Linked DNA regions of Rattus norvegicus. The protein of the gene in region 1 interacts with the protein of each later gene in a pairwise test. Links are inferred from orthologs where the notes say so. Each region holds a gene or a part of one and is shown on either strand. Other genes may lie near its edges. The genes, in order: Grb10, Egfr, Gigyf2, Gigyf1, Raf1 and Igf1r.

What was found.
Region 2: the proteins of Grb10 (region 1) and Egfr interact in binary tests that used the Homo sapiens proteins (3 or more experiments, as listed by UniProt). The link is inferred for Rattus norvegicus from reciprocal best matches to the Homo sapiens genes GRB10 and EGFR.
Region 3: the proteins of Grb10 (region 1) and Gigyf2 interact in a two-hybrid assay, tested with the Homo sapiens proteins (2 studies listed by BioGRID). The link is inferred for Rattus norvegicus from reciprocal best matches to the Homo sapiens genes GRB10 and GIGYF2.
Region 4: the proteins of Grb10 (region 1) and Gigyf1 interact in a two-hybrid assay, tested with the Homo sapiens proteins (2 studies listed by BioGRID). The link is inferred for Rattus norvegicus from reciprocal best matches to the Homo sapiens genes GRB10 and GIGYF1.
Region 5: the proteins of Grb10 (region 1) and Raf1 interact in a two-hybrid assay, tested with the Homo sapiens proteins (2 studies listed by BioGRID). The link is inferred for Rattus norvegicus from reciprocal best matches to the Homo sapiens genes GRB10 and RAF1.
Region 6: the proteins of Grb10 (region 1) and Igf1r interact in a two-hybrid assay, tested with the Homo sapiens proteins (4 studies listed by BioGRID and IntAct). The link is inferred for Rattus norvegicus from reciprocal best matches to the Homo sapiens genes GRB10 and IGF1R.

What each region holds. Positions count from the first base shown.
Region 1 is NC_086032.1:90,722,388-90,725,887, forward strand, and holds part of Grb10 (growth factor receptor-bound protein 10), read right to left. Parts: intron 1,766-3,500; coding exon 1,650-1,765; intron 1,423-1,649; coding exon 1,354-1,422; intron 1,026-1,353; coding exon 888-1,025; intron 299-887; coding exon 188-298; intron 1-187.
Region 2 is NC_086032.1:95,377,498-95,381,425, reverse strand, and holds the start of Egfr (epidermal growth factor receptor isoform 1 precursor), read right to left. Parts: upstream 2,801-3,928; 5' UTR 2,562-2,800; coding exon 2,474-2,561; intron 1-2,473. UniProt on the Homo sapiens protein: Receptor tyrosine kinase binding ligands of the EGF family and activating several signaling cascades to convert extracellular cues into appropriate cellular responses.
Region 3 is NC_086027.1:95,447,777-95,451,978, forward strand, and holds the start of Gigyf2 (GRB10 interacting GYF protein 2), read left to right. Parts: upstream 1-1,402; 5' UTR 1,403-1,465; intron 1,466-1,824; exon of another isoform or gene 1,825-2,030; intron 2,031-4,202. UniProt on the Homo sapiens protein: Key component of the 4EHP-GYF2 complex, a multiprotein complex that acts as a repressor of translation initiation. In the 4EHP-GYF2 complex, acts as a factor that bridges EIF4E2 to ZFP36/TTP, linking translation repression with mRNA decay.
Region 4 is NC_086030.1:24,802,365-24,805,582, forward strand, and holds the end of Gigyf1 (GRB10-interacting GYF protein 1), read right to left. Parts: intron 3,158-3,218; coding exon 3,057-3,157; intron 2,770-3,056; coding exon 2,687-2,769; intron 2,606-2,686; coding exon 2,462-2,605; intron 2,384-2,461; coding exon 2,159-2,383; intron 1,923-2,158; coding exon 1,732-1,922; intron 1,638-1,731; coding exon 1,477-1,637; intron 1,396-1,476; coding exon 1,199-1,395; intron 1,131-1,198; coding exon 1,001-1,130; intron 913-1,000; coding exon 860-912; 3' UTR 501-859; downstream 1-500. UniProt on the Homo sapiens protein: May act cooperatively with GRB10 to regulate tyrosine kinase receptor signaling. May increase IGF1 receptor phosphorylation under IGF1 stimulation as well as phosphorylation of IRS1 and SHC1.
Region 5 is NC_086022.1:150,410,014-150,414,058, forward strand, and holds the start of Raf1 (RAF proto-oncogene serine/threonine-protein kinase), read right to left. Parts: upstream 2,801-4,045; 5' UTR 2,531-2,800; intron 2,287-2,530; exon of another isoform or gene 1,984-2,286; intron 1-1,983. UniProt on the Homo sapiens protein: Serine/threonine-protein kinase that acts as a regulatory link between the membrane-associated Ras GTPases and the MAPK/ERK cascade, and this critical regulatory link functions as a switch determining cell fate decisions including proliferation, differentiation, apoptosis, survival and oncogenic transformation.
Region 6 is NC_086019.1:130,958,803-130,962,796, reverse strand, and holds the start of Igf1r (insulin-like growth factor 1 receptor isoform 1 precursor), read right to left. Parts: upstream 2,801-3,994; 5' UTR 1,846-2,800; coding exon 1,752-1,845; intron 1-1,751. UniProt on the Homo sapiens protein: Receptor tyrosine kinase which mediates actions of insulin-like growth factor 1 (IGF1). Binds IGF1 with high affinity and IGF2 and insulin (INS) with a lower affinity. The activated IGF1R is involved in cell growth and survival control.

The DNA.
Region 1 (3,500 bases):
CCCCAAGCTCCCGGGCTATTACAAAAGAAAAACATCACATCCTAAGCACACAATGAGGACAGTGTAAAGGGAAAGAAAAAGTTTCTGTTTAGAGCAGAAGGATCCACAACCAAATAAATACCGGCCAGGAGAAAAACTCCTTTGCACGGCTCCCAGCCCCAGCCCATGGACTGCATCCATGGAGTACCTTGATGCACATCCCGTGTTCATTGGGTGCGTTGTACTGCTTCTTTCCGGCAATCAGGTAGAAGATGCTGCTTTCTTCGAGGTCAGCCAGCAGCTGCAGGTGTCTGGGTTCCTGCAAAACAGCAGTCAAGTTAACTGGTCACAGTTTCTGGAAAAAAAATCTATAGTGCTAAAAGCTCACCTTTCCCCTGGTCACACACACAGAACTGAAAGAAGATGTGGAATCTGAACAGCACGAGCTCAGACACCAGCTCTGCTAGAACAGACTCGGGTTGTCTCACACGAACTATGCAATTCTTAAAATTTGCTCCAGTAGAGTGAAAACCATAGTTTGCTTTATGAATACAGGACAACAACCCAGCACGTATCCTATGGCCAGGTTGGATCTAGATTCTAAATTCTGGAAACTAAATGCACCCTTGCGTGGACCGAGTCAGTCAGGAAGGTCTGCGTTCAACCCACAGGCGGGTTGACCATCGAATCCAGGGCCGACCATCCTAGAGGACAGGAGCTGCTGTGTGTGATGCCATCCAATTTCTGACAGACCAATACACTGGGTCCCTGCGTGTACCGTTTTATATAAATTGCTTATTAATTAGTTAACACTAGCATAAAAGAGGTTCAGGATTTTTTTAAAATTAAGCCCAAGTCCACAGCAAGAACACCTAGTACAGGGAGCGGTGGGGAGTTCTAAAACTTACCTTTGAAGTCCCCTTGGTGGAGTAATAAAGGCCAGATCTGCGCAGGCACACATACAGCTTCTTCCAAGACTTGCGTCCCACCTCCTTCACCTGCAAGAACCCCTGGATCTCAGGGCAGCTGCTGGAGTTCAGGAAATTCTGCGAAGGAATACACTTTTACAATTAGGCGGTATGCACATAAAACAATTAAAGCACGTATCTTATTACTACATATAGGTGACATTTTCGGAATCATTAAAATATTTGGGGAAGGTTAGGCAAAATTTTCTTCCTTAAAACTTCTTAAAATCCCAACTGATATTGTGTAGAATTCTGTGTAGGTGTTGACATAGAAAGAAGCAAATGGCTCCCACTATAGTGTAGATATAAGGTTGCTACTTTCCTTAGAAGATGGAGGATTTCAGGAGTCTGCTCCTTATTTCAAACTTCCGGCAAGAATGAATGCAATAAGAATTTTGCTTAATACCTGCAGAAGCTGGGCCTGGCCACCGTTGGACTGCTGGCACCAGGTGACCATCTGATCCGGAAAGAAGTTCTGAGAGACAGGGAGAAGCAAGGGTATTAGGGACGCATGTCTGACAATAGTAAAACTTCTCCACGTATGATCATGACCCACTTGTATTGCAGATGACAGTCCTCATTCTGTTTAATTAAATAGTGTCCCACTTCCTAAACCCACGTACCCAGTAAGTCTCAGCTCATCATCTGATAATCAGGTTTTATTCAACCCAAGTATAAATTCCAAGATTTCAGGAAACTTACCACAGGGTTCTTAAAGAACTCGTACTTGGCATAGTTCTTTCTGAATAAGAATTTACTCTCACTTGGCATGGTGCTCTCCACTTGGACCACGATCTCATGGTCCTCCAGGCACCTCTCTGTAGGGAGAAGCATCACATGTAAGATGTGACGAGACTTCAGTGCAATCTCACAAGGTCAAAAGCTGTTTTTAAGTCCTGAGATGAGGAGTCTGTCAGGAACACTAAATTTAACTCTCTAATTCTCTGACAGGTATCTAAAAGAGGTCTGAAAATTCACTAAAACACAAAGTTTGGGTTAGTACCTACAGGGATTTCTTGACACAACATTAATGAGAGAGTCACAAATGATTTCTACTCTTATATTACAAAACTATAGGCAAAGGAACATAGGCATAGACAGCAGGAGGCAGGGCAGGTAGGACCACAGGGCATACAGGTGGTAAGACTGGGAGACCAGTGGATACCAAGCAGTGGGATGTACTCCTCATTCATACCTAGCTAGTTAGCACTGGTCATGCCATGGGATGAAGGCTCCAGCTGGACTGTTTGCCTCTTGCCTTCACTAGGTAGATGACTCACTCCTCTCAGAACACCCTACGTTATGATCTAGAATGGCTGCTTAGTCCCTTCTCTGAACCTCTGCTTTTACAGTAAAGAGAGCATGAAGGAAGGGTCCAGCCTGCTCCCTGCTGACACGAATACCATGTTTGGACGAGCTGTGCTTTTCTCTGTGGAATGGAGATCAGAGGTCCTCCCACAAAGCTCCTGAAAAGCCATAGTGGAGGTGGTAGTGACACAGAACTAACCACATCAAACAACAGGATAAACTATTGACAAGTCCACCCCAGGCTACACATGTGACCTGATGCCAGCCAGGCATTCACAGTTTAAGTGAACATAGGCGCTCTATCCTGAGTCCCCACTGTCTGCCTCTCATGCAGCCATGGCTGAATCTCTAGAAAAATCTCACCTTCGAAGGAAGGGAGACGGTTAGGAAAAGACACTTTAAAGGGTCTCAGAATTGGGAGAAAGAATTTCTGTTCACAAAGGAGAACTGTGGCTATGGGGCACTGCTCCCATTACCAAGAGCAGTTGGGCAGAAGTAGCTTTAGCCTCCATTTTGATACTGCAAGAAGGGGACATCTTGGCAGAAACATATTTAAAAGCAGAATCTGTCCCCGTTGGCAGCTACAACTGTCACAGGGCATGAAAAGCCAGGCTTGAGGCAAACCTAGAATAGTTTCCATTTATTTCTATCTGGGAGAATTCTCCCTGGAACACATGAACGCTTGTGTTTATACAAGGGTTATATTTCCTCAAGACGCATGCGAACAACCACATACATTGACTAAAAACTGATGCATGGTTTAAGAAAACAGCCAGGCTTAAGTTCATTCATTTTAAACAGACTTTCTCGTCCAAAAACACATCAGCGAATTCCATCAGGGGCTTTACTCAGAGAAAATATTATAAACAAACTTAGAACAGAACTCAACGACCCAATAACCTGTAGGTGGTTGCTTTATAGAATAAAATATTTTCACCATTTCAAAAACAGTAAAGCAGAGAGGTAGCAGCCACCCCAGTAAGAATGCAGTGGCTAGCTCTAAATCAAAAAGTGTGCTTTCCAAAGAATCTGCGGAGGCACAGGGACCCTGTGGGGAGCTTCCTAGCCAAGACCAACGCTGTGGTCTGTACAGCTCTGCTCCCTAACAGCAGCTGCCTGGGAGAGGCCGGGGGAGCTGCACACATACTGCACGTACACAGAGGGGAGGGCTTGGTGCCTGGGGAAAGAGGCAGGGGAAACTGGGCCCCACTGTGGTTTCAGGTAACCAGTGACTGCTAAGCTAGC
Region 2 (3,928 bases), about 4.7 Mb from region 1:
AAATGCATGTTTCCTGGTCCTTATCCTTCTAGCATCAAAACTGGGTCATTTATATACCTAACCTAGCCTGGCCCTCCTACAGTAAGGAAGTGGTTTGGGGGTGAAAGGAACTTGAGTCAGTCTTGGCACCGTTTTGTACTAGCTATGGGCAAAAATCACTACGCTTCTCTGTGCATACGTTCCCTCAAAGAGATGATGAGAGCCGCCGCTCACTACATGCAGTGTAAGGACTGACAATACATACATGTAAAGCAGTGTCTGACTGCCTTCTGCTCTGAGGACAAGTATAGATGGTACCACAGATTGGAGGGAAGGATAACCCCTACCTCACTTATGGGAGCCAGCCTGGGACAAAACTGGTCAGTTAAACAAACAAATCCTTTATCAGCGTGCTGTAGAAAGGGTGTCTCAAGTTTTCAACACTCTGGCCTTTAGAACTGAGCCTTTTATGTTACTTGAACAGATGAATACTTGGTTTGCCACCTTTACTGCTCTACCCAGAAGCATTTGGTTTTAAGTGAATACCGTACAGACAGACAAATGAAGCGGCATTTTTTTTTATCTCACCAGAAACAAATCTGCAACCACTAACAGTGTTCAAAGCGGTTAACAGGGAACCACAGGGCTGAGGTGAGACAAGTGGTGCTCTACGGGGTCTCTAATGGGACAAACTGAAAACTAGGGGAGGGAGTCCCACGGGCAGGCACAGATGCCATGACTTCCTTCAGCTGAGGAAGGTAGGAGAAAAGCTTCACAATGATCCCATCTGTGAACAAAGCAAGCCCCGGTCTACTCACTTCACCCAGGCTTTTTTCTGTACTGCAAGATTTCCCAGACTCCTGCTAGTGGGGAGCATCGTGGTAGCCTTAGATGTTATCAATTTCTCGTTTATGCCAGTGAGTCTCAAATCAAACGCTATAAGAGTTTTAAAAATCCTCTCAAGGTAGACCTGTGAAATCTGAACGTCTGGAGTGGCTGCTGAACCCTGGAGGAGGGGTGTAGTTTGTTTTGCTTGTTGATTTTTAAACCCGAATGATTTCATTGTGGAGCTAAGTTTGGGGAACTGAGCCTTACACCCCCTCCGACTAAAGTGCACTGAGCACCAACCCCCAAGTCCAACTCGGATGCCGATGACATCAACAGCAAGTGCAGACCTGACTCCTGGAACCCGAGCGGCTGGATTTTGAATTGTGCAATTAAACCTTCTGAGGCATGTTTCTCGTGTCAAGTGGGTTTATGGTCGGGTAGTCATGAAGCCAGACTTGTTCGTGTTCAGTCTGGGCAGTTGGCACATGTGATCCACGGACATCAATCTGTTTCTTTATAATTAGGGGTTCTATTTTAGTTGGCCCAATATCAATCACTCCAAAAAGGAGGGAGTAAAAAGGAAAGAAAAGAAAAAGAAGCCCAAGAGGGAGCTTCTCAGATAACAAGTAAGAGAGTTTGCTACCTGGCCTCATTTTGAAACACCAAGGATAAACTACACACAAGGACCCAGCTGTCACAGGTCAGCCATACCATTGCAACTCCAAGAGATGCTGCAGAAGCCCAGGCTTCTGAGAAGGGGCAAATTCAGGGATCCCGGGGAAGCAGCCACCACACCAGACTAGCTCAAATCTGGCAGGGAGCCTTGGTCCCCAACCAGTGCACCTAGCTTGGCAGGTCTCTGGCTTGCTCTATGCCCAAGAGGCGGGATCGACCCATCCCACCCCCGCCACCCCCCACCCCCGCCACCTCCCCACCCCACGCCCTCCCTTTTATTTTTATTTTGTTCCTAGCGAAGAAGCAAGTCACCACCACCATCTTTTCTCAGAGGTCCCAGGTGGTTAGTGACAGAGATATCTCCCACATTTGCTGCAGCTACACACCCGCGAAAGAGCACGCAGAAATCTGCAAGCCACATTGGGACTCAGGCTACCAGGTCCCGAGAGAACCCTGGCGGAGAAGAGAGGCGTTGAGGGTGCGCTCAGGAAACCGCGCGTCTCTGAGGTCCCGACCTTGGTCAGAGGCGCGTTGGTTCTTACTCCAGTCCCTCAACTCCCGGGCTGAGAGGGTAGGACATGCCGGTCCCACTTGCGGATCCGGGGTCCCTCCGCTCTCCCTGACAGTACTGGGCGCACGTGCGCCAATGCCCGGCGTCCCGCGCTGTCCCCACCACGTTTCTACTCCAAACGCCTACTGAGCGCAGAAAAGTGAGGCAACTAAGTTGGCAGCAGCCGAGAGCTCCGGAGCGCACAGCCTCGGCTCCCACGCTGCTCTGGCAGCCCCTCTGCCCCAAGCCCGGTCTCCCTTCCTTCAGCCGCCCCAGTCTCGTCCATTCCAGACATTAAATGTCCAGTTCCTCCTAAGGTCCCGGCCGCTTTGGGAGTTAGAAGAGGAGGGGCGGGCAGCTGGGGACGCGGAGTCCAGAGCGGAGGTTGGGACTGGGCGAGCGCGCTCGAAGGGGGCGCGGGCCGGTGGGACACGCCCTTACCTTTCTTTTCCTCCAGCGCCCCACCTGCGGCGCAGAGCGCAGCCAGCAGCAGCAGTAGCTTGGTTCTCGCAGTCCCTGAGGGTCGCATCCCGGCTCGGCAGTCGTTGGCTCTGGCTCTCCGGGATTAATCCGAGTCAGACTGAGTCCCACGGTCGTGCCCGGTGACTGCGTCGGCAACGACGACGGGACCCGGACTCAGACTCGCGTCCAGGTGACCCGTCGCCTGTCTTGGTGGCGGTAGCCTCCGGGACTGGCTCCAGACGCTCGAGCCCAGGAAGAGCGCACAGTGCGGGAAGAAGAGGGAGGCTGCTGAGCGTTGCGCTGGGGCTGTCCAGGCGTCTAGCTAGCCCTGGTCGGGACGTGGGGGAGGTTGGGCGGGAGGAGGAGGGACTAAGTGGAGGAGGAGGGATCCAGAGAAACTAGGAGGAGGAGAATGGCAGGAGAGAGGAAGCGCTCGCCGCGAGGATCGAAAGCAGGCAGTGGCCGGAAGGTGGTGGTGGATGGCCTTGGCCACCACTAGACAAGGCTCTGGAAGAGAGTCCTGGCTGCGTGCAGAGGGGCAGTGGGTGGCCTTTGGGATTAATTTCTGAGTGGGGACTCCACTGCGCTGCATTTCAGGACCTAGGAAGCCCAGTCAAATCTATGTCAGTGTCCCCTCTTTTCCTCTGTGTCTCCCAACTTCTTACTTCTTTTCTTTCTTCCAAGAAAAATAGAGAACAACTCTAGACCACCTCGGTTACTGTCCTACCGTAGAGCACAGGTTGGAAATAATACAGATGGGGACACTGTTCACTTATTCTCCATAACTTCTGGACCGCGGGATCTCAGCAGGTCAGACTGACTTGGCCGCAGAGTTCCCAACCGCTCGGGCAGAGGTGGGAGCGGCACGTCTGAAGTGGCACTCAGAAGTCTGAGGGTTCTTCAGATCCCATCGAGAACCCTCCATGTCTTTTGAAAGAAGGGTAGCCAACTCCTGGCACAGAGAAAGGCCTCAGTATGTTTGCTGGGTGAGTGCATGCATGTTGACGAGCAAAACCACGGCATTTTCTGCACCTGGAACCAGCCAGGAGGGCTTGAAAAGCAAAGCAGAGTACACATCAGGCAAATTCCTTCGCTCAACGCAAAGACTTAACACAAACAACAGTGGACATATCTTTAGAGCAGTTAGCAGCCTCCAGTGACCCAAGCTAGCCCTGACACACACCAGGAGGCAAATTGCCAGGTAAGTTCACCTAGAAATTGGCCAGTAGAAATGTGTCTCTGAACTGCAAGACCGACCGGCAACTAAATTCCTTAAGCAAAGACCAACTAATGTCACTGCTTCTTAGCCATCTGAGAAATGTCCCCTGCTCCCATTCAATCCAGAATTTCCGAGTTCTTCACAAAATCACCTGGTCCCCTAATTTAGACGCCTTGGGTGGGTCTCCTGGTTAGCAGGAGTCCTTGTTAACCAGT
Region 3 (4,202 bases), on another chromosome or scaffold:
AATAACCTGAAGGACTTTGCTTAAGAGGTCAAAGCCTTATTTTGACTCACAGTTCAAGAGTACGGCCCGCCAAGGCGGGGAAGTCATGATGGCAGGAGGTTGAGGGGGCCGGCACATTGAGTCCGAGGTCAGGAAGTAGGATACAATGGATGCTCTGAATGCTTCTGTGCAGCTTGTTTTCTCCTTCCTATTCACGCCAGAATCCTAGCTCATGGAATGGTGTTTCCCCTTTTACCCACATAAATGAAGGTAATCTAGATAATCTCTCATAAATTTGCTCAGATATTTGTTTCCGTGGAGAATCCAAACCCCATCAAGTTGACAGTCAAGATTAATGATCACTCTCTAAATTTAATGCTCTTTTGTATAATTTGACTTTGAAAGGGAATCAAGACTTAGGAAGGGAGGCAGCCGAAGAAGTAGGTGTGTATATATGCTTCTGAGTGTTGAATTCAGGGCTCTCAACATGCTAGGTTGGGAGTCTTCCACTGTGTTCTGAAACTTAAGTTTTCAACATTTCCTTTTAAGATAAAGACATTTGGGTATATTTGAAAAAAAAGTTGATGGGAAGAACTGTGATAAAAGGGCTGTGATAAAAGGGCTGTTTTGCAGTGGTTGTGCGAAACCCTGAGTTGATTCCAAACACCAAAGGTGGTAGAAAGGCAGAAGACTAATGGCCCCAGAAAGACCCGACTTGAAATGGTAGGTGGACCAGGGTTAGCAAATTGAAGTATATAGTATGCCCAGCTAAATATGAGTTCCAGAAAGACAGCAGATACTTTGTCTTTTGAATTGCTGGGTTTCCTATTCATTATCTAGCAATCCTAAAACGGGAAGTCAGTATATATATAAAGGGGGTTGTAGGTCCGCATGTTGTGGGAGGGAGTAGGAACTTTAAAATCCTTCGCAGATGTCACTCCAGAATGAATTCCCACTCCTAACAGAAAGGACACTGCTTTGAATTTCAGCCTCACCATTTGCCCCTTGATGGACAAACTGTCAGGAAAACGCTAGACCAAAAGCTGTGGAAAAGTTCTAGCTTGGAAAACCAGCTCATAAGTGATGTGGAGATTTTTGTACTGCAAACGGGCACTGGATTGGGTGCCTCGGATAGTGAGTCATAGGGCCTCTGGCCAGGCTCCAATTAGGGACACCAGCTTAACTCTAGGGCCTTAGGAGATGCAGCCAAAGGCTCCACTGTGCGCCTGCGCTACTCCTGCCCCGCCCTCTCCCAGCCCTGCATCCGGGTCTCAGAAAGGGGCGTGTCCGAGTGGAGGGGGCGGGCCGTAGAGGAAGGGAAAGATGTCGTGGGAAGCTGGAGGGAGTGAGGCGGGGATGTAGGCGGGCCGAGGGGGCGGGTCGGCGCGCGGGGTCACGTGACGTGCGTGGCGACGTGTCGGCCATCTTGTGTTGTTGAGGCTGAGGATTGACTTGGGTTCTGAGAGACTCCTGTCCCGGACCGCAGGTAACCAGTGGCTCGGTGTGTCTCCCCTGTCCGCGGCCATCCCGCGCCCAGTCCCCGCCATAGCTCCCCGAGCTGCCGTGGCCTGGCGCCCACCGTCGCTTCCCCGCCGCTCCGGCCCGAGCCGGCCGCATGGACACACTCAGGCTGCCCGGCAGCGGCCGCGGCCGGATGGGGGCGTCAGACATGGGGACAGGGCAGGTGCGGGGTCCGCAGGAACCTCCTCCCTTGCGAGGGCCGTGGCCGGCCCGGGAGCTTCCCAGCTGAGCGCAGCCCCTTGCTTTCGCCCCCGTGGCATCGCGGGGGAAGCTGAGAGGAGGCGGGAGGCGGGGTGGGCAGTGTCAGGCCGGAGGGCTCGCCTTCCGCTGCCCGCTCCTCGGGGCCGGTCGCCCGCGCAGCCTCGGGGTCCTCCGGCTAACAGCTGCTGCGAGCCGACAGCTGCTCTTGCCGGCGCTCCTGCCCGCACCTGCCCGGGGGAGGTGCGCCCTTGCCGTCTCCACCGAGCATCTGGACTGGGGAAGACTGCTACCACGGCTGGAGGACTGGTCTGGAGCAGGCCCCAGGCGAGGTGGAGTCATGATCTGATCCTGGGACTGAGAGGCTTGGGAAAGTAGAGCCCGGGGCGGCTCCGGGGACCCGAATGTTCACACGGGCTTGAAATGGGCAAGCAGTTTCCCACGAAGCACTCTTGAACACTTGAGTTTTGTAGCTGAAATATCAATCAATCAATCCGGCAAGGAAGGGGAGGGTGTGAAAGAAGCAGGTTGTGTGACCGCGTTTGGGAGGCAGTAAGGTTGCTTTGCGTTTATCTAGTACTGTCTCCCGTCACCTCCCGTTTTCTTGAAAGTCAAAGCACTTAAACACATCCAGTGGCTCTATTAGGAAGGTAAGTACTCCAACATAACTTAAGAAATTAAGGGACTCGAATCAGTGATGGACTCGAATCAGTGATGGCTTCCCACCTAGTACCATATACCTTGGATTATAGAAAGTTATGGTTCAGGTACTGTAGTTTTCCTTATGTAGTTTCTCCTCTTTGGTAACAGATGACTTCCTAGATTATAAAGACGATTATCATACTTTTTGTACATGAGTTTTCATCCTCCTTTGTGGCTCTGACTGGCAGACTTTTTCTTTTTTGGTTAGAACACATACTTTGTCCTCATTTAATGATGCTTTCCTAGTGTAGCAGCTTTTGGATTGCTTGAACTGGAATATGTACTTCATTGTCACGTTAGAAGACACTAGAAAAACATTTAGAAGTGAGTGACATGTGTCAGGAAAAAAATACCAACATTGAGGGGCTAACAAAGATGATGTTAGTGATTTGCTAGAAAGGAAAAGACCATACCTTTTTTAGTACTTGACGAAGGTTTTTCCTGGCTGGGGAAGAAGACACTGTGCACTATCTGCTGCCATTCTTTTATTTTGGACTACAGGTACTACAGTGGTGTATGCTGAGGAACAAACATTTCTGTTTTTGTCGAGCTCACTTAATACTTAAGTAAAAATATACAAATACTTCTTGATGTAATGATGGGGCTATGTCCCTTAAACTGATTGAAAGTTGAAATCTGTAAGCTGAACATGCATTTAAAGATATCAGTCTGCTGCCCATTAATAACAGCAAAGCCTCCTATAGAATCTTGATTCTTTCCCCCTTATAATTGCATGGTTAGATTTTATGTGATTTTGTGATTCTCTGGTCCTAGCCAGCAATGCCAGGGAATATTGCACTGCATATTGCCAACTCAGGAAGCAATCATAATTCGAAATGTGAAGAATGATTTCTATGAGTCCATATTGTTTTTACCTCATAGTAATGTGCAAGCTCTTGTTAAGTCAGACATTTCTGTGCAGGGACCATCTGTTTAGGAGTAGTGAGGATGAAAGAGATAGGAAGACAGGAAGGGTTAATTTTTCAATTTAGTCTTGTGAGGAGACTTTACAGGTAAGATAAAATTTGAGGGAATACCTGATAGGTAGAGGGCAGGGTGCTTCACCAAGAGGCAGAAAAGGGCAAAGATCCTGAGACAAGAAGATAAAACTTAGGTGGGACCCATCAAGGGCTTGCTGGGAAGAGCACTGAGGCTATCTAGTCTGGAAAGACTGCAAGAAACGGATTGCAGTGTATCTACACAACTCTTTGGCAGGAAAATGAGGTGGGTCATTCAGTGCACTGGAGTCTTCAGAGGAGTCCATGTGCGTGTAATTCAGGCTGACCCAAACTTGCTCTTCTCTTGCCTCAGCCTCCCAAGTGTCTGAGATCTATGGAAAAGTCTTAGGAAAATCAGATTCTATAGACTTGAGTCACGATCCCTCCTTCCCATTCATTTGGGAAACTCAGGATGCTCATCTATATCAGGAATTATAATGAGTTACTTAAAAATAAGTTTGTAGGTGTGATTGCTGTTAGACTGCCTGGAAATACTTTTTAAAAAGGAATGACTTTTTGTTTGTTTGGTTTTGTTTTTTGATTTTTTTCAGACAAGGCTTGATGTAGCCTTGGCTGTCTTGGAACTTGTTCTAGACCAGGCTGGCCTCGAACTCCTGCCTCTGCCTCCTGAGTGCAGTGATTAAAGATGTTTGCCAACACTGCCAAGCAAGAAGTGGCTTTTTTTTCCCCCCAGAGCTGGGGACCAAACCCAGGGACTTGCGCTTGCTAGGCAAGCGCTCTACCACTGAGCTAAATCCCCAGCCCCAAGAAGTGGCTTTTAAAGAAGGTTATCTATCCCAACCT
Region 4 (3,218 bases), on another chromosome or scaffold:
ACCCCGGCTGTCCCCCGGAATGGCAGCAGTGGGGGGCAGCCCCTCAGCAGGCCTGAGTTCAGAGCCTACCTGACAGGCTGGCACTGACAGGTCTTTCCCCAGCTCCCCTCAGCCGGTGTGGGAGGGCTGTTGAGGGGGCTTGGGGAAGAGGGAGCTGAGGCAGCTCATCCAATTTGTGCAACGTTCCTCCCAAAGCAGCTGAGGCAAGGGGCGACTATGGCCCCTGACCAGGACACCTGCCACGGTACCTGCCCCAGGAAGCGGACCACAGCTGGTCCAGCGGGTGGGGCTTCTGGAGGGGCCTCGCTGTGCAGACTGCCAGCACCCAGCTGACAGTTACCCCAATGACCCACCTTCTAGGGGCAGGCAGCAGAGTAAGTGCAGCCTCAGGGGAGCCAGCCAGGACAGTTCCATGGGGCCTGGTACCCACTGGCCGAAAATAACAGTGTGATTTTTTTTCCTTTCAGCCTAACTTTTTTTTCATTATTTTTTCTTTTTTTCTAAAAATAAAAAATAAAAACAAAACAAAACAAAAAGAACCCCCAAACCTCTGTGGACCTTCCAATGTCACACCCATTATCCCCAAAGGGGTGAAGGGGCCTACCGTCTAGCTTTTGAATGATACTTTTGTCTCTCCTAAGGTTTAAAATTAAAGAGAAAAAAAAGCCCCTCCCCCATCTGTAAAGTGCCTCGTGGTGGGTGAGTTAAGGTGCATCGTGTGGTTTGTAACAAGTGCTGGGGACCCTGCCCCGCTTGCTTCCTCCTCTGCTCCTTGCTGGGAGCCTGCAGGCCGGAGACCCAAAGGTCTATGCTGCCGCCACCCGAGTGTAGAGCCCAGGGGGCTGGTGGGACAGGCTGGTCAGTAGTCATCCACGCTCTCGATCTCACCGGAAGGGCCGTGCAGGGAGTACCCTGAAGCCGGGAGAGTGAGGGTGAGCTCACCAGGTCCTGTTGACCTGTGCAGGGAAAGTACAGCTTCCCAGTCCCACCCGACACTTACCCAAGATGCTGGGGTCAGAGTGAAGCATCAGCGCCCGCCTCTTGGCCTTGCTGCCCTCCCCAGGGCCCAGTTTGGTGCTGTGGTTGGCCTGAAAGGCTGTCTGTAGGGAGCTGCTGCTCAGCCAGGCCTCCTGAGGCACGAGAGAACAGTCAGGAGAGTCCGGGGTGTCCTGCCTTCCCACGTCCCACGAGACTCTACCTGCTGCTGCTGTTGCTGCTGCTGCTGCTGCTGCTGTTGCTGCTGCCGCTGTTGGCTGGCTTTCTGCTTGGCCCTCCGCTCCAGGAATTGTTTGGCAAATTCTTTGGCTTCCAGCGTGTCCCCCAGGCAGGAACGAATATAATCATGGACATCATAAGGGGACTCCACCTCCTTGAGGATCGCTACAGCCATGGGAACTATGGAGAAGGGACAGTCAGGCGTACTGGACAGGTCTAGAGTCCCTAGTGCCAACATGGCCGCCAAGGAGCACCTCATACCATCCAGGCTGCTTGTGGTGCTCAGAGTGTGCAGCATCTGCTCACACCATTGGGTGAAGCCATCCTGGGGCCGAGGGATGCCCTGTAGCAGCTTCAGCAACTTCTCTTCCTCTTCGGTCTTTTTGCGAACAGGTCGACCTGACAGGTGGCTGTAGGAGTCACTGAGGCAGGTGGGGAATTGGAGGCCACAGATGAGCCCAGACCTTAGCATCCCTTATTCCCCGACAAACTGGGCTAAGCAGGTGTCTCACCAACCTGAGAGACGGGCTGCTCCGACTGTTCTTTAGGCCCAGGCTTCGGGCCAGGCTCCCGCCACTCTTGAGAGTGTCTTCCCAGAGTCCCAGGTTGCCACTGCTGCTGCCCCCACTCTTGTCTGGCCCGCCCCACAGTGGCCCAGCCTCAGACACCCACTGGTTCAGAGGGGCAGTGCCCAAGCCCCCAAGTTGCTGTAAACGGCAGGAAGTCAGGGGGCTCTAAAATGGGACCCTGGACACCTAGGCAGGGAGGCTCATTTGGGGGCTAATGGGAGGGATGAGGTGAAGACTAGGAGAGGGGCCATCCTTCCAATAATGAAAGGAAGGAAGAGGTCTTCAGCTCTAGGCGTCTGAGCTCAGGGACACCTCCCCCCAACCACAGTGCTCCTGGAGCTGCAGCAGAGGGGCTCCCTGGGGCAGGTGCTCACCACTCGGTGGTTGGGGGCCTGGGCCCGCAGAGGCTCCCGTGGTGCCGGCTGCTTGTGCAGTTGGCGCTCACTTTCCATCTGCAGCTCCAGCAGAGTCTTCATGGACAGGCCCTGCTTGGCTAGGCCAGCCCAGAGTGGGGGTGGGGAGCTGGGTGCAGGGGGCACAGGGACATTCGTCGCCTGCTGCTGCTGTAGCAGCTTCAGCAACAGTTCCTGCTGCCGCACCTGCGTGGGGACAGTGGGTGAGGGTGGCCCACTGGCTCCAGCCCCAGCCTAGGCCCAGGAGACAGGTAGGACTTGAACCTGCTTGCGTCGAAAGAGCTCCTCCTCCTCCTGACGCCGCTTCTGCTCCTCCTGCTGCTGCTGCTGGCGACGCTTCTCCTCCCGGCGTTTGCGCTCCTCCTCCTCCCGCTTCACCCTGAGCTCCACTTCTCTGCGTTCTTGAAACTGAGGTGACAGGGACGTAAGCAACAGGGAGGCTGCCCCTGCCTCAGCCAGCCTTTGCCAGGTCAGCCTGCTACTACTTACTTTGTGTTGCAGCTGGAGTTGTTCTAGAATTGGACCCTGAGTCGAAGAGTTAATTGGTATGTCCCAAAGACTGGCCTCACCACCTGTGGCAGGCAGGAAAGAAAGGGCAACTGCAGAGACCCAGGCCCAGCAGGCCCACCCAGATAGGAAGCTGCCCCCAAATGAGCCTCCCTGCCTAGGTGTCCAGGGTCCCATTTTAGAGCCCCCTGACTTCCTGCCCTTTGCAGCAGCTTGTGCGCGCGTGGGCACTGCCCCTCTGGGTGTCTGAGGCTGGGCCACTGTGGGGCAGGCCAGACAAGAGTGGGGGCAGCAGCAAAGACTTGAGGAGACAAGGGAACAAGAGGTGGACTGGGGCAGGGTGGCCACTCACCTGACTGTGATGAAGCTGAGGTATGTAAGTCCCAGAGGGGGCCTGAATCTGGCACCGACAAGGACCGGCTCATTGTCGGGAGCAGGTTCTGGTCCCCACCTCTGAGAAACAAACCACTGGTCCTCAGGATACCGTTCTCTTGTGGCCTGCCCTCCTCTACCT
Region 5 (4,045 bases), on another chromosome or scaffold:
TAAACAGGGAGATCCAGCCAACAGAAGAAAAAAAGAAAGAAAAGAAAGAAAGAAAAACAGAACCCAACATTTCTGATTTTTCAAGAGTGGGAGACCCTGATTTTTTATGGTCTAGTTTCAACTTTAGAAAAATAAAACAACATTTTAAGTTGAAGCCTGATTTGTATGGTTTCATAAACCCTCTCACTGTTATATTTGTTCACTGTCTTTCAGAGACAATATTTAAATTCTGATCTGCAAGTCAACATTGGGGCATGTTGCTAACGGGCAAGCCAAAGCATTCTCTCATGGTTTTAGGTAGCAGGTAGGTAAAGAAGTTTTGTCTGAATTTTAATATTAAATAATCAAACATTCACTAATAGACTTTCTAAAAGAGCAATTTGAAGTTAGTCATTGTATTTCCATTAAAAATACTTAGTGCTTCTGCAAATATCAAATTAACTTCCTAAAACTGTCAAGTAGTTTAATCATCAGAGAAAATTGACTTGAAGCCAAAACCAAGTGGGTTCAGAGCAGCTGTAATGCAGTGTCATTCTTAATTTTTGGATACTTTTTGTCATAAGTGAAAGGTTCTCAGTCTTTTTACTACTGGGCCAAATCCCTTAAAATGCATTCAAAAGCCTTTCAGTCAAGCCTCTACTTCACAGGCATACAAGATCCTTTCAACTACTGACAAGACCTTAACAAAGCTGCCTGATCCCACTTCAGGGCACAATCCCAGCCTTGCAGACCTGAAGATAAGCCTTCGAACAGAAACATCAGCAGGTTTATTTTTCCAAGTATCCAGTCTCAGCTAGGTCAAATGTTGCTGCTGGATTTTAAACAGCTTACTTAGCCCTTGAAGTGATAAGAGTAAAAACAAATCAAAAGAACCTCAGTGTTTTTCAGTGGTTCACAATACCAAAGATTTGGAAACTGCCCCTGATGTCTCTTCACTTCTAAATAGCCACTTCAGCATAAGCCTTAATCAAATTAGCTATTTTATTAGAATAACAAAATAAAATGTTCATGGGGCTGGAGACTTAACAAAGCTGCAACCTGGGAACTCAGTCTAAAGAAAAGTCTACTACATAAATAGGATTCATTAAAAAATACTTTCATGCTACACTTTTCCAGGTGTTTTCTATAATCTGCCGAATTCTATACGTTTGGGGAACGTGTTTTTACGTGGTCAGCAGCGATTTAAAACTCAGGAGTTAGTAAAGAATATGTTTATGACCTCAGTATTTTTGAAGGCAGGTATAACCTTAGAAAAAGCTGCAAGAGTATCTCTGAAGAGGAACCAGTGAAAAAGCACTAAACATTTCCTATCAATTACCAAAACTGGTTAGCTAGACTTAACAAGGTAAATCTTGTTCACTACCATAGCGGGAGGGGAGCAAAGCAGCAACCCGCAAGAACTAAAAATTCACAACATGAAGTTAATTAACAAACGAACTAGTTCACTATCCATCACACAGACCCTTCGCAACTATCAATTTTCCTCTTAGACCCTGCCGTCCGCCTACCTGCACCCCATATTTACTAACTGCTCCCCAAAATCATCCTAACTCCCGCAGGCTACGCCCCTGTGCCTTGGTGCCAGCTGTTTGTTCCCCCGCTGACAATGTCCTCCCCGCTACCTCACCTAGCGAACAGTCCTTCCAAACTCCGCGCAGAAGCAAGCAAGGAACCTCTGGGTTTCTCTATTCTGCACCTAACTGTTCTAAATCCCAAGAACACTTGGGAAAACAAGCCTTATCACCGCGCATTGTTTTCACGCCCCGGGAGCTAAGTCTCCACAGACCCCACAGGACGCAATGCAGGCATCCATACGTGCCCTGAATTCATTCCCCACTTCTATACACAGACCTGCCCCATTCCCCAAGACCCGGTCACGTCTCAACCCGGAAAGAAGAGATCCGACTGTCCCTCCAAACAAAGAATGAAAACCAGAGGCACACCCTGGGCCCTAAAGAGAGAACAATGAATGAACACGGCCACCTCGCCTCCCGTGGTGTCCCAACTCTGCATCCTTCACTGGCTCTGCAGAGCCTAGGAGGCTGTCGCTTCACACAAAAGGCAGTCCAGCTCCCAATCTCGAGCATCCCCGGCCTCCCATTTGGAAGCTCCGGGCGAGGTCCCACGTCTTTGTGACGGGGCACTGACCCGTTTCTCGCTGCCGTCCCTGATTCTTCTCGTCTTCCCTAAAAGGGTGTCACTTAAGCGAAGCAGCCCGAGAGGAGGTGCAAGGCCGGGCTCCCCCCACTTCTGCGGCCCGAGAGAAAAAGAATGAGCCCATCCCAGTGACAACCCAGACACTGGGCAGCTCTAGGAGGATTTTTTTTCCCCATTGCCAAAATATGAGGAATGCTCGCTGGGCACCGGAGTGGCGCTGGCACATTTCCGAGAAACACTGGGAAATCTGAGCAGGGGTGTGGAAACTGGCTCGCCGGCCATGACACCCAGCCCTCGCCCGACCCGCCACCAGGATGACAGCGGCCTGGCGGACCCTGCGCCCCGCGGCCGCACCGTCAGCCCTGCGGCCTACCTGAGGGAGCCGGGCAGCACCGGGTCCCGTAGTGCAGCGACAGCGGTGGTTGAGAGAACGGGTTGCGGTTACATTCGGCGTGTCCCCAGCCCGGGGGACGGGGCCCCAGGAAGGCCCCGCATCGCTGCACTAGCGCCCCGCGCCTCAGGGCACGCGCCCCAAAGCTCGGCCAGCTGGCCCGTCTGAGGGCCTGCGGAGAACGGCAGAGAAGCCTTCCTGCTTCAAGCTCGCTCCGTTCTAACTCCCGCCATCTAAGATGGCGGAACAAGCACCCGCGATGAAGACGCTCTCAGGCTGCGGCGGCGAGCTAGCCCTGCGCTCGACACTCGTCTTGGCGACCTGCGGCGCCGCGGACTCACTGCCTCTGCGCGAGCTCCTGAGCTCGGCTGTCCGCTTAAAACTTGGCTCGGGGATCTATCGCTCGGGCCTGGAATCTGGCCCCGCCTCTGGAGGCGTGGCCCTCGCGGTACTGTGGCCGCCATTTCGGGGCTCAACCTGTGGAGGTACAGTGACTGCTTCTGGTCGGAGGCCAGCGGCAGTGGGCTGCAGCCTCGGTCCGGCCACCCGCGAGGCCCTCCGAGGACCAGACGCGCCAGATGACACACAGCCCAGGGCCCAGCTTTGGTGCTTCCTTCCGAAGTTGACATCCATGGAGAATGGCGGCTTACGGGTTTTGCGGGAAAGCTCTCATACTATATTAAACCTCAGGTTCCACATTTGTATTGCAGATCGAGGGTTCACTGTAGTACACCAGATTGACCAAAAACTAAAAGTATGGTGTTGCACACCTGTAATCCCAGCGCTTGGAAAGTAAAGGCAAGAGGATCAGGAGTTCACAGCCATGCTGAGCTGCATGAGACCCTGTAATACCCAATTTAATAAAGATGGAGAAAAAAATAAAATTGATGCGCCAATATGGCCCACGGAAAACTGAAGCCTGTTGTGAGCCTTCGTACAACCCCAGTGGAATAGACACCTAAAGGACAATGTGACATTGTCAACGTGCTTTTTTTTTTTTTAATCCCTCTTTGAAATAGGTTCTCAATTTTTTTTATCTCTTTGTTTATTTGTGGTTTTTCGAGACAGGGTTTCTTTGTTTAACAGCCCTGTCTGTCCTGGAACTCACTTTGTAAACCAGGCTGACCTCGAACCCAAAGAGATTGGTCTGTTTCTGCCTCCTGAGTGCTGGAATTAAAGATATGTGCCAGATTCCCTCTTAATTGGAGGTTGACCTCAGACTCCCATTCTACCTCTGTGTATTTTCAAAGTAGCCATTTGGTATCTGCAAGGTGACTCAGTAAAAAGTTTGCAGAGTAAAACCTGGTGGTGCCATGATGGAAGAGAGAACAGACTCCTGAAAGTCATCCTCTGACCTTGATTCGAACCCAGTGCTACGTGCTCAACCTGCAAACCGCATTTACAAATACACATACAAGTTTTTTAAGTAACCATTTATAAGTAAACATCTCTTGACATTTAGTACATTTACAGTGTTGTGTAACCACAGCTTTAGTT
Region 6 (3,994 bases), on another chromosome or scaffold:
GGGGTCGGCCCTAGTCTGCGCCTTACACTAGGCTTACTACAGCTACAGTTCTTTAAAGACCTGCTCGGACTCCATCGTAGATATTTCTTAAAAGAGGCTCAGGGTTTGTTTATAGAAACAGCCTTTGTGAACTACGGCAGTGGTGGGGCCGCACGGCCCGCGCAGCCTCCATCGTTTCCCCCTTGCTAACTCCTCAAGGCTAGGTCGTGATTTTTTCGAAGTTAATAGGCACCACCTGCATACATTCTGCAAACATTACTCATCCGCACGCCCTCACTTCCCCAGCCCCAACTCAAGAGACTGCATTTAAAGTTTTAATCGCGTTCAAATTACTCTACCATCTCTGAAGTACCAGTATGCCACTGTTTTTCTCGAGAACAAAACCCCCTCCTCCTCCTGCTGCCCCCATACACTGTGGAGAGTTCTCATTCCCAGAGACACCCCACCACCACCACCTACTCCTACCCGACACCACCAAAACAAAAGCTATCAGATTGCAAGCGATAGCGAGCATGGAGCGATACTGCTTATTAAGTATGTACAAAGGAAGTGCGGGGCGGGGGGGGGGGGGGGGGGGGGGGGGGTTGGCAATGCAACACAACTTTGGGCACAACAAAACCAAGGCCAGGGCTCCGCGTTCACAAAACAAAACAACCACCCGTCCACTACCATACTACAGATCCTGTCGCAGCTCAAGCCACCGCACATCTCTTGCCAGTCCAGTTGTCACCTCGTGGTCGTATGGCTGTGGATGCACCTAAATCCGCGCGGAGAGCACGTGTGTGTGGAAATGCACGTCGACTCTGCACATGGGTGGATGTCTCTAACTCCTCTTACTAAGACACTTCTGGGGAAAAGTGTCCAGAGCGAGGTAGAAACTGAGAGCCCAAGGAACCTCTAAGCTGGGTATCATCCAAGCCCCCCCCCCCCCAACACACACACACAGGCGTCTGATGAAAGTTTTAAGCTCACACTTCCTTAGGGGAAGCTGGGGAGCACACCCCGCACCCCAAGGCCACACCGGGAAGCCCAAGTTACCAAGTCTTGGGAGAGGTGGGGACTAGACACCTACAGGTTCCAGAGATGCGAAAGGCCAAGAACCAGAGGGGCCCGATGGGCCCAACAAGTTGGGTGATATAAGGCCGCGCCGTGATGTTTGGAAACGTGTCCTGGGGCCGCGAGGCTTCCCCATCCCGTACCTCCCCCTCAAGGACAACTTGCACCCCGCGGGGCAGAAGGCTCTGGCTGGCCAACACGAAGTACTAGGTCGGTCTACCCTAGGACACACCCGTGGAGCCTCCAAGGGTGCTGTCATGGTGCGCAGCGCTGGATGGGCGCTGGGGTGCCAAGTGGCGCGCCCCGGAGGGGGGAGACGAGGGCAGCGGGGCTCCCGGAGACACCCAGATGCCAACTTCCCCACCAAGTGCCCAGGAGTAGGCTGCCCCTGACCCGCTAGGGAGGAGGCACTGCCCACCCACCAGGCCGCGTGCGGGACAGCGCTCCTGGGACAGCGAAAGAGAAAGCCCCGAGGCCCTTCCCGCGCGCAGATGCGCTGAACTCAGGCTCTTGGAGCTCCTGAACCGTGAACTCGGGCCCCGATCCGCTCTGGCCTTCCGGGAGAGCCCCACCCTCCGCTCCCGAGCCCCGGAGTCCGACAGCTGCGCCCGTGGCAACTGGGTTTTCCCAAACAGGGCGCAGCCCCTCGGAGGAAAAGTTCCCGCAGTGGCCGCGGGCGGCGGGCAAATACTCACTTTCTCCACTCGTCGGCCAGAGCGAGAGCGCGGCGGAGAGAAACACGAGCCCCCACAGCGAGGTCGGGGACCCTCCTCCGGAGCCAGACTTCATTCCTTTTATTTGGGACAAAATTCCCTTTTCTCAAAAAAAAAAAGAAAAGAAAAGAAAAGAAAAGAAAAAAAAAAGAAAAAAGTCTTCAACTCAGTCCTCACTCTCGTCCAAAAACAAGAGCGAAGATCCTCGGAAAGCGGCGTGGACAGGGAGGGTGGCGCGGGGCGGCCCCTCAGCGCCGGCAGCAGCGGCCCACGGGGCGGCGGAGTAGGGAAGCCGGGGCGCGCCGGGGCGGGCTGTCGGTGTCGTCGGCCTCCATTTGCAAACCCAGAGATGCAGAAGAGGGAGGAAAACTGTACAGAAAGAGGAGCAAAGCCCAAATCGCCGCAGGCGGGGACAAACGCCCCCGATTCCCGGAGGGAACGACCACCCGAGCCTACGCGGCGGGAGAGCCCGACGCAGTTGGCGAGACTGGTCCGAAGTCCCGGGCGCGGGCGAGGCCGGCGAGGGGCAGAAATGCTGAGTGGAAATGAATGAGCGGTTCCCCCTCCTCCGGCTCCTCCTCCTCCTCTGGGCTCCGCTCGCCGCCGCCTCCTCCCTCAGCGCCGCCGCCGCGAGCTCCTTCCCAAATCCAAATCCAGGACACACAAAGCGGCGGCCGCGCAGCGCTCAGCGCTCCCGCCGCCCCGCGTCGGCCCCCGCCCGCCGCCGACTCCGTGCGCGGGGGCTCCGGCTCGCTGAAGGTCAAAGCCGAGCACGCCGCGTGCCGTGGAGCTCTTGCAGGCACGGGAGAGGCGTGGAGGGTCCAAGGAGCGGGGCCGAGGGTCTGCGAGCGCCGGGCGCGCCGGGATAGGCTCGCTGGCGGCTTCCCTGTCGCTCGCCTCTCTCGAGTTCGCCCGGTGCGCTCGCTCCTCCTCGGTTCCCCCTCCTCCTTTTTTTCCGCTCAGCGGAGTTAATGCTGGTAAACAAGAACCTCAGCCTCACCGCGCCGCCGCCGCCACACACTGGGGGCTCTACGCGCGCGCTCTCGGGGCCGCGCACACGTGCCCGCGCGCACACTCCAAGCGGCTACAGCCGCAGTCCCGGCGCGCCGAGGGCCGGGCCCCGATTCGGCAGTCGCCAAGAGCCGGAGTTCGGGATCGCAGGGACGTGTGGAGCGGAGCGCGGGCGTGGGGAGCCGGGCCCAGGAGGCACCGCCCCCCGCGCCTCCACCCGCGCCGGCCCCCGCGCGCACACTGAGCCACGCGCGCGCCCACGCTTCCGCCCCCACCCGCACTGCGCCGGCCGGCCCTGTCCGCACCCTCCCCACCCGCAGGACTCTAAAAAACAATGCCCCGGGCGCCGGCGGGACTCGGTGGCCAAGGGGGCGGCGGCAGGGCGGGCGGGCTGCGGGCGCGGTGGGCGGGGAGTGCGGCCCCGGAGCTTCATTGAAAACAACAACAGCGCGGCTGGTGAGCGCGCTGGCCCGCTCTGTGAAAAAGCTTCATTGTTTCTTGCAGCTGTTGCAAAATAAATAAATAAGTGCATGCATGCGGCATTTTTTCGCAGCGTGGTGGAAAGCCCGGACGCGGCGGGAGGGGCACACCTGGGGGAAAGGGGACCCCTGAAGAGACTGCTGCTACGCAAGGCACTTTCCACCCCAAGCTTGGGCGCCCGTGGCGGTGCTCCTTGGGTATTCCGGTGCTTACGCGCTGACAGAGAGCGGACAGGGTGCGGTCCGCATGCCTCTGTTCTCGAAGCACCGCGATTCCACCGCGGGTCCCGAGCCCTGGAAAGGGGACCCAGACAGGCGGCCCCTCGTGCCCAAGACGCGTCTCCGCGGCGGCCGCCAGAGGGCGCGGCGGCAGCCCGGGAGGGCTGGCCCGGGGAATGTCGCCTCCCTCCCTCCCGGGGAGGAAATGTGGGGGCCCCGAGTCGGGGACCGACTCGGCTGGGTCGTGCTGGCGGGGCCTCCCAGCCCCATTCCTCTCCCGCCCTGAGGGCGCTCCACCGCATCGTGCTGGTCGGTGCTCCACCACGTGGGCAGCTGCGGAGAAGGACCGCAGCGCGTGTCGGGCTGCGGGAACCCGCAGCTGGGGGGCGTGTCCGGGGGGTTCCCAGGATGGGGATTGCGGACGGGGACCCTAACCCGGACAACGTCGTCTGGCTCAGGTCCCAATCTTAAGAATGTGTAGCCGTCACCAAGGATCGGTGGCCACTGCAGAAACCC